Saccharomyces cerevisiae S288C: one gene and its partners. Changing the gene in region 2 together with the main gene of any one other region gives a genetic interaction. Each region holds a gene or a part of one and is shown on either strand. Other genes may lie near its edges.

Region 1 (3,620 bases), on a different chromosome or scaffold from region 2:
GCATTTCATCCTCTTGTGAGACATTTGTTATGATTCTTTGTTTGAAAAGTTCCATGAGGCTGTCTTTGTAAACAGGTAATATATCCTTAATAAATGAGGAATTTTGATCACTTTGTAAGATCGTCTTTCTGAAAATTGATCTTTCGAAAAAATTAGGAAATGTGGGAAGGTTAACGAACTTCAGTCTCAATATAGGAAGATTTTCGTTGAGATACTTTATTTTCATATCTCTGGGTAGGTCTTTTTTAGTTGTTTTTATCTTTCTGACGATGATGAATAAATGTGACTCAAAATATTTGACATACTGTTCTATGGCTTTGCTGGTACTTCCAAGTAAATTACATAAATGGTACTCGATGGAATCGGAGTATATTTTGAGGTGATCTACATTAGCTAGCTGAACTACCTCATCAAATAGCCTTTCAGTATCATGATTGGATCCATATGCTGCCTTTAACTTTTCTGAAACGGCATCATCACAGAATTCCTTGAATTTTGACAGCATATTTTTTGCTTCAAAAGCATTTCTAAACATCAATAAGCTAAAGTGTGTCTCAGTTTTGAAATATCTCTCTTTTTCTTCATCATAAGTGTCCTTCCCAATTTCTATGTATTCGCTAATAGACTTCTTGTTCAACAGTAGATGGCTTATAAATAGGTCATTTGCATCGCTGACCCATTCAGGGGAAAATAAAGATGCTAATAATGCATTCCTCGTCAATAGTACCTTAAAATTCTTGAAAGTTTCCAGCCTCGGCCTTAAATTTGATTCCTCACAGTAATATTGTCTGAGAGTTTTCATATAAAAATCTTTGGGGCTCAAGCCCTCTATACTAAAATTGCAGTTAGACATTATACGGAGCATAGGAACTTCCTTCTCTAACATTGTATTCGTTATTGGAAACATATGAATATAGTGATGAATAGTAGCGCTTACAAGGGTGGAAAATTCCCTTCCAAAATGTGACTTCATACATTCGAAAAGTTTGGAATCATAATACTGAAATATCGTTAAGGTCTCAAATCCTAGTTCTTTTCTTATCATGGGATAATTTACCGGCACATACGATATAATAGGACCAACGGCACCCATTACGTACTGAAATAGCTTGTAAAAAGAGGTCCAATTTTTGGGTATAATTTCATAAGAATAGTCGCATCTGGTCAAAAAGCTAAGGACGTGCGCGTCAATTATTAACTTTGCCAATTCATCACAAAATTCTTGAAAACTCAGCACAATTTGGTGTTGATGTAGCAGCTGAAACTTCTTTTGCTTTTCGTCATTCCCATTAAATTCTGAGTTGTAAGGAATGTATGATTTCCTTTGCGTTAATTCACGGCAATTGTTCAACATCTTAGGCATTAGCTTTCTAAATTTAGCGGCCTTTTCTTTATTACACTCCAATTCTTTCACGTCAGTTTCAGTTATAGTTTCAGCTAAAGTAAGGTGAAAAAACTCGTGCAGCTCAGCAATCATCGTTCGATACCTGGGATTTCGCTCATCGTTAAATTTATTGTATAGTCCTAAAGCGTTGCTTGCACTCGTCTCTCTGCTTATAGACTCGTGGAATCCTTCTCTCTTGGAAACGCTCTCATTTATCATTGTTCCTGTGAACCCGTACGAGAATTTATACCAGTAAAAAAGATTGGTGGGTTTAATATCTTGAGGATTCCTTCAAAGTAGTCTTTTAGTGCAAAGATATCGATGATCTTCATTCGCATTGTTCATATTCATCATTACGCAAAGGATAGCTATGCGTTCCGCTTCGTCATACTTAATCAGGAATATTGAACATCCAAAAATCTCCGAGCTCACGTATGTAGAATTTTTGATGAATACAAAAGAAGAAAACACTAGACTTTTCTTTGATGTTTACATTATGTCTATGATGCTAAGTAATTGGGCACTCTCCCCTCGATATGTGGGACAGCGAAACCTCATACATTGCACCACTTTATTTCACACACTTACACGATGGGCAAAAGACGCAGACGATAAATATCATGATATAAACTCAATGTATGAAAACATGTTTACACCTTCAAATGATAACGTTTCAATTTTGCAGGATGAAGGTAAATCTGATTATGATACGACGAAGGCCAGCTCTATGGAAGAAGATATCAGTGCTTTTAATAAAGACTTGTACAATTTCTATAATATTGGATATGCCAAACAGATCATGTCTGCTTCACAATTGGAAAATATAGTAAAGGCAAAGGGCAGATTTGTTATACAAAGTTTATCCACCAGTCCTTATTATAATTTGGCCCTTGAAAACTATGTTTTCAAGAATACACCAAGAGCCAAAAGAGGTCCCGATAATTGCAGACTGTTATTTTACATCAATGATAGGTGCGCCGTTATAGGCAAAAACCAAAATCTGTGGCAGGAAGTAGATCTTGCTAAGCTGAAGAGTAAGAATTTCGAACTACTTAGAAGATTTTCTGGAGGTGGCACTGTACTGCATGATTTGGGCAATGTTAATTATTCATATTTAACATCAAGGGAGAAATTCGAAACAAAGTTTTTCAACAAAATGATAATTAAGTGGTTAAATTCATTGAATCCCGAACTAAGACTAGATTTGAATGAGAGAGGAGATATTATTCAGGACGGGTTTAAAATTAGTGGCAGTGCTTATAAAATTGCCGGTGGCAAAGCATACCATCATGCAACGATGTTGCTTAATGCGGATTTAGAACAGTTTAGCGGCTTATTAGAACCCTCACTACCGAACAATATGGAATGGGAGTCAAGTGGAGTTCATAGTGTAAAATCAAAAATCAAAAATGTTGGTATAATTACTCCTAATCAGTTCATTGCAGTGGTATCCGAGCGTTTTCAGAAAACATTCAAAGTTGACGGCGAAATACCTATATATTACTGTGACGAGTTTAAATCTATAAACGATGAGATTAAAGATGCTATGAACACCTTACAGAGCGAACAATGGAAATATTTCTCGGGGCCTAAATTTTCAGTGAAGATTAAAGATAAAGGCTTAACAATTAAAGTCGAAAAGGGCATGATTTATGATTGTGATAGAAATGATTTAATCGGCTTGGAATTCAAAGGATTTTTGGAGAATATTGACAGTTACACATAACGTTGATGAATATTTCAATTCACTTGTAAATAACGTAGGTAAATATCAAAATTAAAGTCTTTCACCGGAAACTGATTCAGCATATTTCAGCAGACGCGTCCTAGATTCACAGCAAACTTCAATATAAGCGATACATTAGGAGTGTTCGTACTTTAGATCTATAAGAACTATATTTTGTTACGATTCAGCCGTCTCTAAATGTGAACTAAATATTTATACTGTTATTTGAGAAACCGACAGATAGTACTTAATTTTATCGATCATCTAAGAATAGCATCGGTATTGTGGTGACATTTATTGAATTTCTTCCGCTCCAGAATAAAGTTCCTTTTCACTTCAAAAAACTGCCACCAGTAAAGTTGCACCAGTGGTTTTTGAGCATTTTTTGTCAATGTCGCTTAACCGTTCTTGAACTGTATCCTCTTGACGTCGATAAAATCATTTGTAAAAACCAGGCCAAATCATCATTGAATAATTTACACTGTGTCTTCAATGTCGCCATTTGGACCA
Region 2 (3,683 bases):
TGTAAATATGAAAGTCGTGGGGATTTATTTGCAGTATTGGAAATTGTCAGAGATTACTTCAAAATCAAAGATTCGAGCATCAAAAGGAAATATTTGAGAGACAATTTACTTTCCTATAATAAAATTAATGAAATTAAGTCATCAACAGCCCAATATTATTCTATTTTGAAAGATGTAGGCTTTCTACCAATGGACTATAAAGTTGGAAGCATTTCTGATTTGAATAGGAACGAGCGAAATTTTGATATCCTAAGGGCCATTCTCACGGGTGCGTTTTATCCACACATAGCCAGGGTGCAACTACCAGATGTAAAGTATCTATCAACAAGTTCCGGTGCTGTTGAAAAAGATCCTGAAGCCAAAATGATCAAATACTGGATTCGAAGCGAAGAGTATCAGGACAAATTAGAAGAATATAAGACGAAAATTTCGCAAGAGACGCAAAAGGTTGATTTGGAAGATTTACCGTTACCTGCTACTAGGGCATTCATTCATCCAAGTTCAGTCTTATTTTCAACCAATTCAGTAAACTTGGAAGACGCTAAGTTACTCTCTGAGGTGGATGGTCCAATATCCCGTCAATCCAAAATACCAACCGTTGTAAAATACCCATTTGTTTTGTTTACCACGTCTCAAGTTACTAATAAGTTGTATTTGAGGGACTTAACCCCAACTACTACATTATCATTACTATTATTCGGAGGGGCAATCTCTTATGACATTGGAGGTACTATTCATTCACCGGGCATCGTTGTCGACAACTGGCTCCCAATTAGAACCTGGTGTAAGAATGGTGTTTTAATCAAGGAACTGAGAACACAACTTGATGAGGCCATAAGGAAAAAGTTAGAAAGTCCCGATTATGCTAAAAAATCTCAAATTGATAATTCTGGTGCTGATAAAACTCTAAAAATTGTTGAAAAAATTATAGCTTCCGAACAATAGTAATCAGTTCCTACTGTAGTCCCTGTATAATAATTATCATCTTCATTTTCGAAAAGGAATTTTTTTAACATATAGAAGTGTCAAAGTATAAAACACTAACAAAAATCTAAGAGATTATTGCGACTGCGTGTTTTTCTCTTTGCTGAATCAGGGCTAGAATCCCGTAAACTACATAGCACATTGTCTTTGCCATATTTTAAAAATTTTGTGGCGCCGTCAAAATAAAAAAAAAATACTGAAGGATGCGAGGTTCGAACTCGCGCGGACAACCGTCCAACAGATCTTAAGTCTGCCGCCTTAGACCACTCGGCCAACCCTCCGTCGATAATACAACAACAAGGAAATACAGGATACGAACACCATCCAGTTTAACTTGATTAATCTTTACGCATGCATATTGCTACATCTTTTTTATTCTGCAATATACATCTGTTTATATCTCATTAATGTTGGTAAGCCTCTGAAAAATTTATCAAATACTAGTACAATTGTTTACCAACATCATTTTCGTTGCTAGAAAATTACTATACACCGTTAAGAAAAGACATAAATCATGAGACTAATAGAACAACACTAGGGATTAGCCAATTTAATGGGAGCTGAAATGCAGGGATTAATTATGCAATTACAAAATGAATGGTATCGTTTGAAATGAAAGAAGAAACACTAATATTATAACATAGAAATATCGATTTCTTCCTGCGAATTCCCATGTCCTCGTTGAGAACTTCTAATATGTTTTGTATGCCTAATATTATAGCTTTACAAAAAAATAGAATCTCAACAATTATCCCACAATTCACTCATGTCATGCTGCCTCTCGCGTATTTTTTCTTGAAACCGATGCTAGTTTAGTTGTCTTTCGGCATCAGCTCTAATTTTTTCAAGAATAGTATCTACAGAGTCAAATTTCATCATTCGGAGAATTCCGATGAATCGGCATCGTCAGAGAAGCTATATAAGAAGAGATAAACACATTTGAAAGATAGGATATACTTTGAAAGTGTTCTGGTGACCACTATATCACTTAAGTAATACCTAACAAAGCAATGGTACAAGAAATCGATTTAGGTTTGACATGTGATATGCATGTTCATGTAAGAGAGGGTGCGATGTGTGAACTAGTCACCCCCAAGATTAGAGATGGTGGGGTTTCAATTGCTTACATCATGCCAAATTTACAACCTCCAATTACCACACTAGATAGAGTGATTGAATACAAAAAGACACTGCAGAAACTAGCTCCTAAAACTACCTTCTTAATGAGTTTTTATCTTTCAAAAGACTTAACTCCAGATTTAATTCATGAAGCTGCCCAACAACATGCCATTCGTGGAGTAAAGTGTTATCCAGCGGGAGTAACAACAAATTCGGCTGCTGGGGTGGATCCAAATGACTTCAGCGCATTTTACCCAATTTTCAAGGCTATGCAAGAAGAGAACCTGGTATTAAATTTGCATGGGGAAAAACCTTCTGTCCATGATGGAGACAAAGAACCTATTCATGTATTGAATGCAGAGGAAGCCTTTTTGCCAGCCTTGAAAAAATTGCATAATGATTTCCCAAACCTGAAAATAATTCTGGAACACTGCACTAGCGAGTCGGCAATAAAGACAATCGAGGATATAAATAAGAACGTGAAGAAAGCCACTGACGTAAAGGTTGCTGCCACATTAACGGCTCATCACTTATTTTTAACAATTGATGATTGGGCCGGAAATCCGGTAAATTTTTGCAAACCTGTTGCGAAACTTCCAAATGACAAAAAGGCTCTAGTCAAAGCTGCTGTATCAGGGAAACCATATTTTTTCTTTGGATCTGATTCAGCACCTCATCCTGTACAAAATAAGGCCAATTACGAGGGTGTTTGCGCAGGAGTTTACTCACAATCTTTTGCGATCCCTTATATCGCCCAAGTTTTTGAAGAGCAAAATGCCTTGGAGAACTTAAAGGGCTTTGTTTCCGACTTCGGAATTTCCTTTTATGAGGTTAAAGATAGCGAAGTGGCTTCTTCAGATAAGGCAATATTATTCAAAAAAGAACAAGTTATCCCTCAGGTTATCAGCGATGGCAAAGACATAAGCATCATCCCATTTAAAGCAGGTGATAAACTAAGTTGGTCGGTGAGATGGGAACCTCGTTAATATGCAACAATATGTAGGCTCATTTGAGAGTATAGACCATATATACATATTTATGGGAAAAATAAACTTACCTTCCAATAGAAGTTATAGATGCCATCATCATGCCTATTGTTATGGTCCGTATCTCTTTACAGAAGTTCACAGCCAAATGCGTTGATATGGTATATTTTTTCTCTTCAGTTTTTTATCAAAAAATGCCACAACCTTGATTTAATCTTGCATACTAACATCCACATCTTGAGCTTTTTGCTTTTCGTCATTGCTTTCTTCCTCATCACTTTCACTACTATTATTCAGCACTCCAATCATCTTATTGTAAATTTCTTTATCTTTCGCACTCAATTCATTTAAGGGCAAATTACCTGAGTTCTTCTCTTGCAGCCAAAAGAAGTACCTTTCGTTGGATGAAAAAACTAAAGCAAATATTCTGCCACTTTTACTGGATTTTATTGGAACCCACATGGTCTCTCCAGGAATTAAAATCAAAGAAATAGGATCAAGTTCCCTCCCGACCGGCTTTTCCGTTGGACGCCACTCGAAATCCCAAAATCCCAATTCTTCCTCTTCATTTGGTTTGATCTCGATTTCACCCTG
Region 3 (3,851 bases), on a different chromosome or scaffold from region 2:
AAACATCAAGTTCCATGGCGGTGGTTTCACAAACCACTGTCTATTCTGGGAAAACCTGGCTCCAGAGTCGCAGGGCGGTGGTGAACCACCCACCGGCGCTTTGGCAAAGGCAATCGACGAGCAGTTTGGCAGTCTGGACGAGCTGATTAAGTTGACCAACACAAAGCTAGCAGGCGTGCAGGGCTCCGGATGGGCCTTCATTGTGAAAAACCTCTCTAATGGAGGCAAGCTGGACGTTGTTCAAACCTACAACCAGGATACCGTCACAGGCCCACTAGTTCCTCTAGTTGCCATTGACGCCTGGGAACACGCCTACTACTTGCAGTACCAAAACAAGAAAGCCGACTACTTCAAAGCCATTTGGAATGTGGTCAACTGGAAAGAAGCATCCAGAAGATTCGATGCTGGCAAGATCTGAAGAAAGAAAGAAAGAAAATACCTTTTTTTTTCCACTGTGTCGTTTTTATTCTAACTACTCTACTAAATCACACAACCACACTCCCCTATTTAATAATATATTTTACTATTAAAATACATATACATGCATCGTAAAAAAAGAAAAAAAGAAAAGAAAAGAACCGAAAAAGACAATACAACCAACCTTCCTCCACTTTTTCTTTTTCCTTGTTCTCTCTCGCTTCCTACGTTACTCGCGCCTGTGCACTACATTCCCACCAGATTAACTCACCACCAGGCAGAGAACCAATTGTTCTTGTTATTGTTCCAACCGATAATTGTAAAGCCATTAAGGTCGTAAACGACTGCTTACTCAGGGAGATCTCCGAAAACGGCAATTGCTGTGCACCGTGCGACGTTATGATCGCCGCCTGTCCCGTACAGACGAACAATTGCAACAATGGGCGGTTGTTTAGAGAGGTTTTGTGCCGCGCCCGGGAATTACCGGGGGCACAGCAAAATACGAAATTTCCGGCAAAATGTCTCTGTACGAAAATGAGGCCAGCCTTTATTCCCGACTAAGCCGTACGATTATAGTAATGTCACACGAAGTGGATACTATACGAGCAGCGCACATACAATGTGCGTGCAAGATTTGCCGGGTTGGACAATCTTAAAGGCCGATAATCCACGAAAAACGAGACAAACGAAGCGCTGGCCCTAAACGAAACGAAACGAAACTAAGATTTCAAGATAATCGCTTTTCAGATGACAATAGTCTCTTGCAGAACACAATAAGTGTGGTAGGTATCTTGCAGGAGACATCGATTTTATGCCTGAATTTTTTTTTTTTCTTGGTATGAGCACATCCTATTGTGCATCTCCACGAGTTAACGACGTTTACGTACTCGCATGTATTCGAAAAGCCTCTAAAAATTGCCCTCCATGTGTATTCATTATATAAGATAGCGTATTTTCCCTTAGTTTTCTTATTCCCTCTTAATTCTCTCTTTCAATGTCTTTTTTTTTTTCCCTTTTCCTTTTTCCCTTTTCGTTATTGGTAAATTATTTATAAAAAGATTGATAAGCAGTATCGTTCAGCGTGTGTATTTTCGATAGGAAGTAATAATTTTTCATTATATTAATTAATAGTTTCCAGAAAAAATTTTTTTTCCTTCACAATTGCAGCAGGCTTGAATAGAAACAGAACAAACGAGTAATACAAGGATGTCTGCTACCAAGTCAATCGTTGGAGAGGCATTGGAATACGTAAACATTGGTTTAAGTCATTTCTTGGCTTTACCATTGGCCCAAAGAATCTCTTTGATCATAATAATTCCTTTCATTTACAATATTGTATGGCAATTACTATATTCTTTGAGAAAGGACCGTCCACCTCTAGTGTTTTACTGGATTCCATGGGTCGGTAGTGCTGTTGTGTACGGTATGAAGCCATACGAGTTTTTCGAAGAATGTCAAAAGAAATACGGTGATATTTTTTCATTCGTTTTGTTAGGAAGAGTCATGACTGTGTATTTAGGACCAAAGGGTCACGAATTTGTCTTCAACGCTAAGTTGGCAGATGTTTCAGCAGAAGCTGCTTACGCTCATTTGACTACTCCAGTTTTCGGTAAAGGTGTTATTTACGATTGTCCAAATTCTAGATTGATGGAGCAAAAGAAGTTTGTTAAGGGTGCTCTAACCAAAGAAGCCTTCAAGAGCTACGTTCCATTGATTGCTGAAGAAGTGTACAAGTACTTCAGAGACTCCAAAAACTTCCGTTTGAATGAAAGAACTACTGGTACTATTGACGTGATGGTTACTCAACCTGAAATGACTATTTTCACCGCTTCAAGATCATTATTGGGTAAGGAAATGAGAGCAAAATTGGATACCGATTTTGCTTACTTGTACAGTGATTTGGATAAGGGTTTCACTCCAATCAACTTCGTCTTCCCTAACTTACCATTGGAACACTATAGAAAGAGAGATCACGCTCAAAAGGCTATCTCCGGTACTTACATGTCTTTGATTAAGGAAAGAAGAAAGAACAACGACATTCAAGACAGAGATTTGATCGATTCCTTGATGAAGAACTCTACCTACAAGGATGGTGTGAAGATGACTGATCAAGAAATCGCTAACTTGTTAATTGGTGTCTTAATGGGTGGTCAACATACTTCTGCTGCCACTTCTGCTTGGATTTTGTTGCACTTGGCTGAAAGACCAGATGTCCAACAAGAATTGTACGAAGAACAAATGCGTGTTTTGGATGGTGGTAAGAAGGAATTGACCTACGATTTATTACAAGAAATGCCATTGTTGAACCAAACTATTAAGGAAACTCTAAGAATGCACCATCCATTGCACTCTTTGTTCCGTAAGGTTATGAAAGATATGCACGTTCCAAACACTTCTTATGTCATCCCAGCAGGTTATCACGTTTTGGTTTCTCCAGGTTACACTCATTTAAGAGACGAATACTTCCCTAATGCTCACCAATTCAACATTCACCGTTGGAACAAAGATTCTGCCTCCTCTTATTCCGTCGGTGAAGAAGTCGATTACGGTTTCGGTGCCATTTCTAAGGGTGTCAGCTCTCCATACTTACCTTTCGGTGGTGGTAGACACAGATGTATCGGTGAACACTTTGCTTACTGTCAGCTAGGTGTTCTAATGTCCATTTTTATCAGAACATTAAAATGGCATTACCCAGAGGGTAAGACCGTTCCACCTCCTGACTTTACATCTATGGTTACTCTTCCAACCGGTCCAGCCAAGATCATCTGGGAAAAGAGAAATCCAGAACAAAAGATCTAAGGTTTGTAACTGAGAAAAAAAAAAAAAACAGAAAAAGAGAGAAGTTGTACATTCACGTGGGCCTTATCGCCACACTCATCCATCTCCAATGATTTATTTTATTTGCCAGTACGTTTGATATGACATCGAGTTATGTTCTTTAGTTACTTTCAAACTTGGACAACCATCCCGCATTATTTATGAGTGGTATGGTTTCACTTCTTTATTTATAAATATTTATACTACGAAATTATATATAGATTACATTTCTAAAACAACATCAAATATAAGGTTTATTTATGCAACATGCCTACTGGATTAGAAGAGAGAACACACAGCTCACAGGCCAAGCGGAAATAAAGCAGTCTTTTCGCAAACTTGTAAATCTTTTTGCAATTTAAATTAATCAAGAGAGGGCCCAGGAGGAGAGGAGTTTTGGGGAGGGGTCACTGAGGAAGCTCTCTTAAATATGGATTCACTGAAATAAATGTATATAAGATTCATTACTGCTTTTTATAGTGATAAATCCAAATGATGAGTGAATTGAACCATCCTTAGTATCCATTGTTTTATAAAGCACCGCTAAAAATAATATATTGCTACAAAAATGATATAATAATAATATTACGTAAAATACCTGAAACCGCCATAAAAAT

Evidence for each region.
Region 1: mutations in URA4 (region 2) and AIM22 together harm fitness more than expected from each alone (negative genetic interaction), as found in Saccharomyces cerevisiae (2 studies listed by BioGRID).
Region 3: mutations in URA4 (region 2) and ERG11 together harm fitness more than expected from each alone (negative genetic interaction), as found in Saccharomyces cerevisiae (2 studies listed by BioGRID).

Annotation. Positions count from the first base shown.
Region 1 is NC_001142.9:350,506-354,125, forward strand, and holds AIM22 (putative lipoate--protein ligase), read left to right. Parts: upstream 1-1,880; coding exon 1,881-3,110; downstream 3,111-3,620. Other genes in the region: cullin RTT101, read right to left, coding at 1-1,603. UniProt on the Saccharomyces cerevisiae protein: Catalyzes both the ATP-dependent activation of exogenously supplied lipoate to lipoyl-AMP and the transfer of the activated lipoyl onto the lipoyl domains of lipoate-dependent enzymes.
Region 2 is NC_001144.5:961,791-965,473, forward strand, and holds URA4 (dihydroorotase), read left to right. Parts: upstream 1-1,994; coding exon 1,995-3,089; downstream 3,090-3,683. Other genes in the region: YLR419W (RNA helicase), read left to right, coding at 1-945; proteasome regulatory particle lid subunit RPN13, read right to left, coding at 3,300-3,683. UniProt on the Saccharomyces cerevisiae protein: Catalyzes the conversion of ureidosuccinic acid (USA) to dihydroorotate, the third step of the de novo pyrimidine biosynthetic pathway.
Region 3 is NC_001140.6:119,456-123,306, reverse strand, and holds ERG11 (sterol 14-demethylase), read left to right. Parts: upstream 1-1,623; coding exon 1,624-3,216; downstream 3,217-3,851. Other genes in the region: superoxide dismutase SOD2, read left to right, coding at 1-418; YHR007C-A (uncharacterized protein), read left to right, coding at 542-757. UniProt on the Saccharomyces cerevisiae protein: Sterol 14alpha-demethylase that plays a critical role in the third module of ergosterol biosynthesis pathway, being ergosterol the major sterol component in fungal membranes that participates in a variety of functions.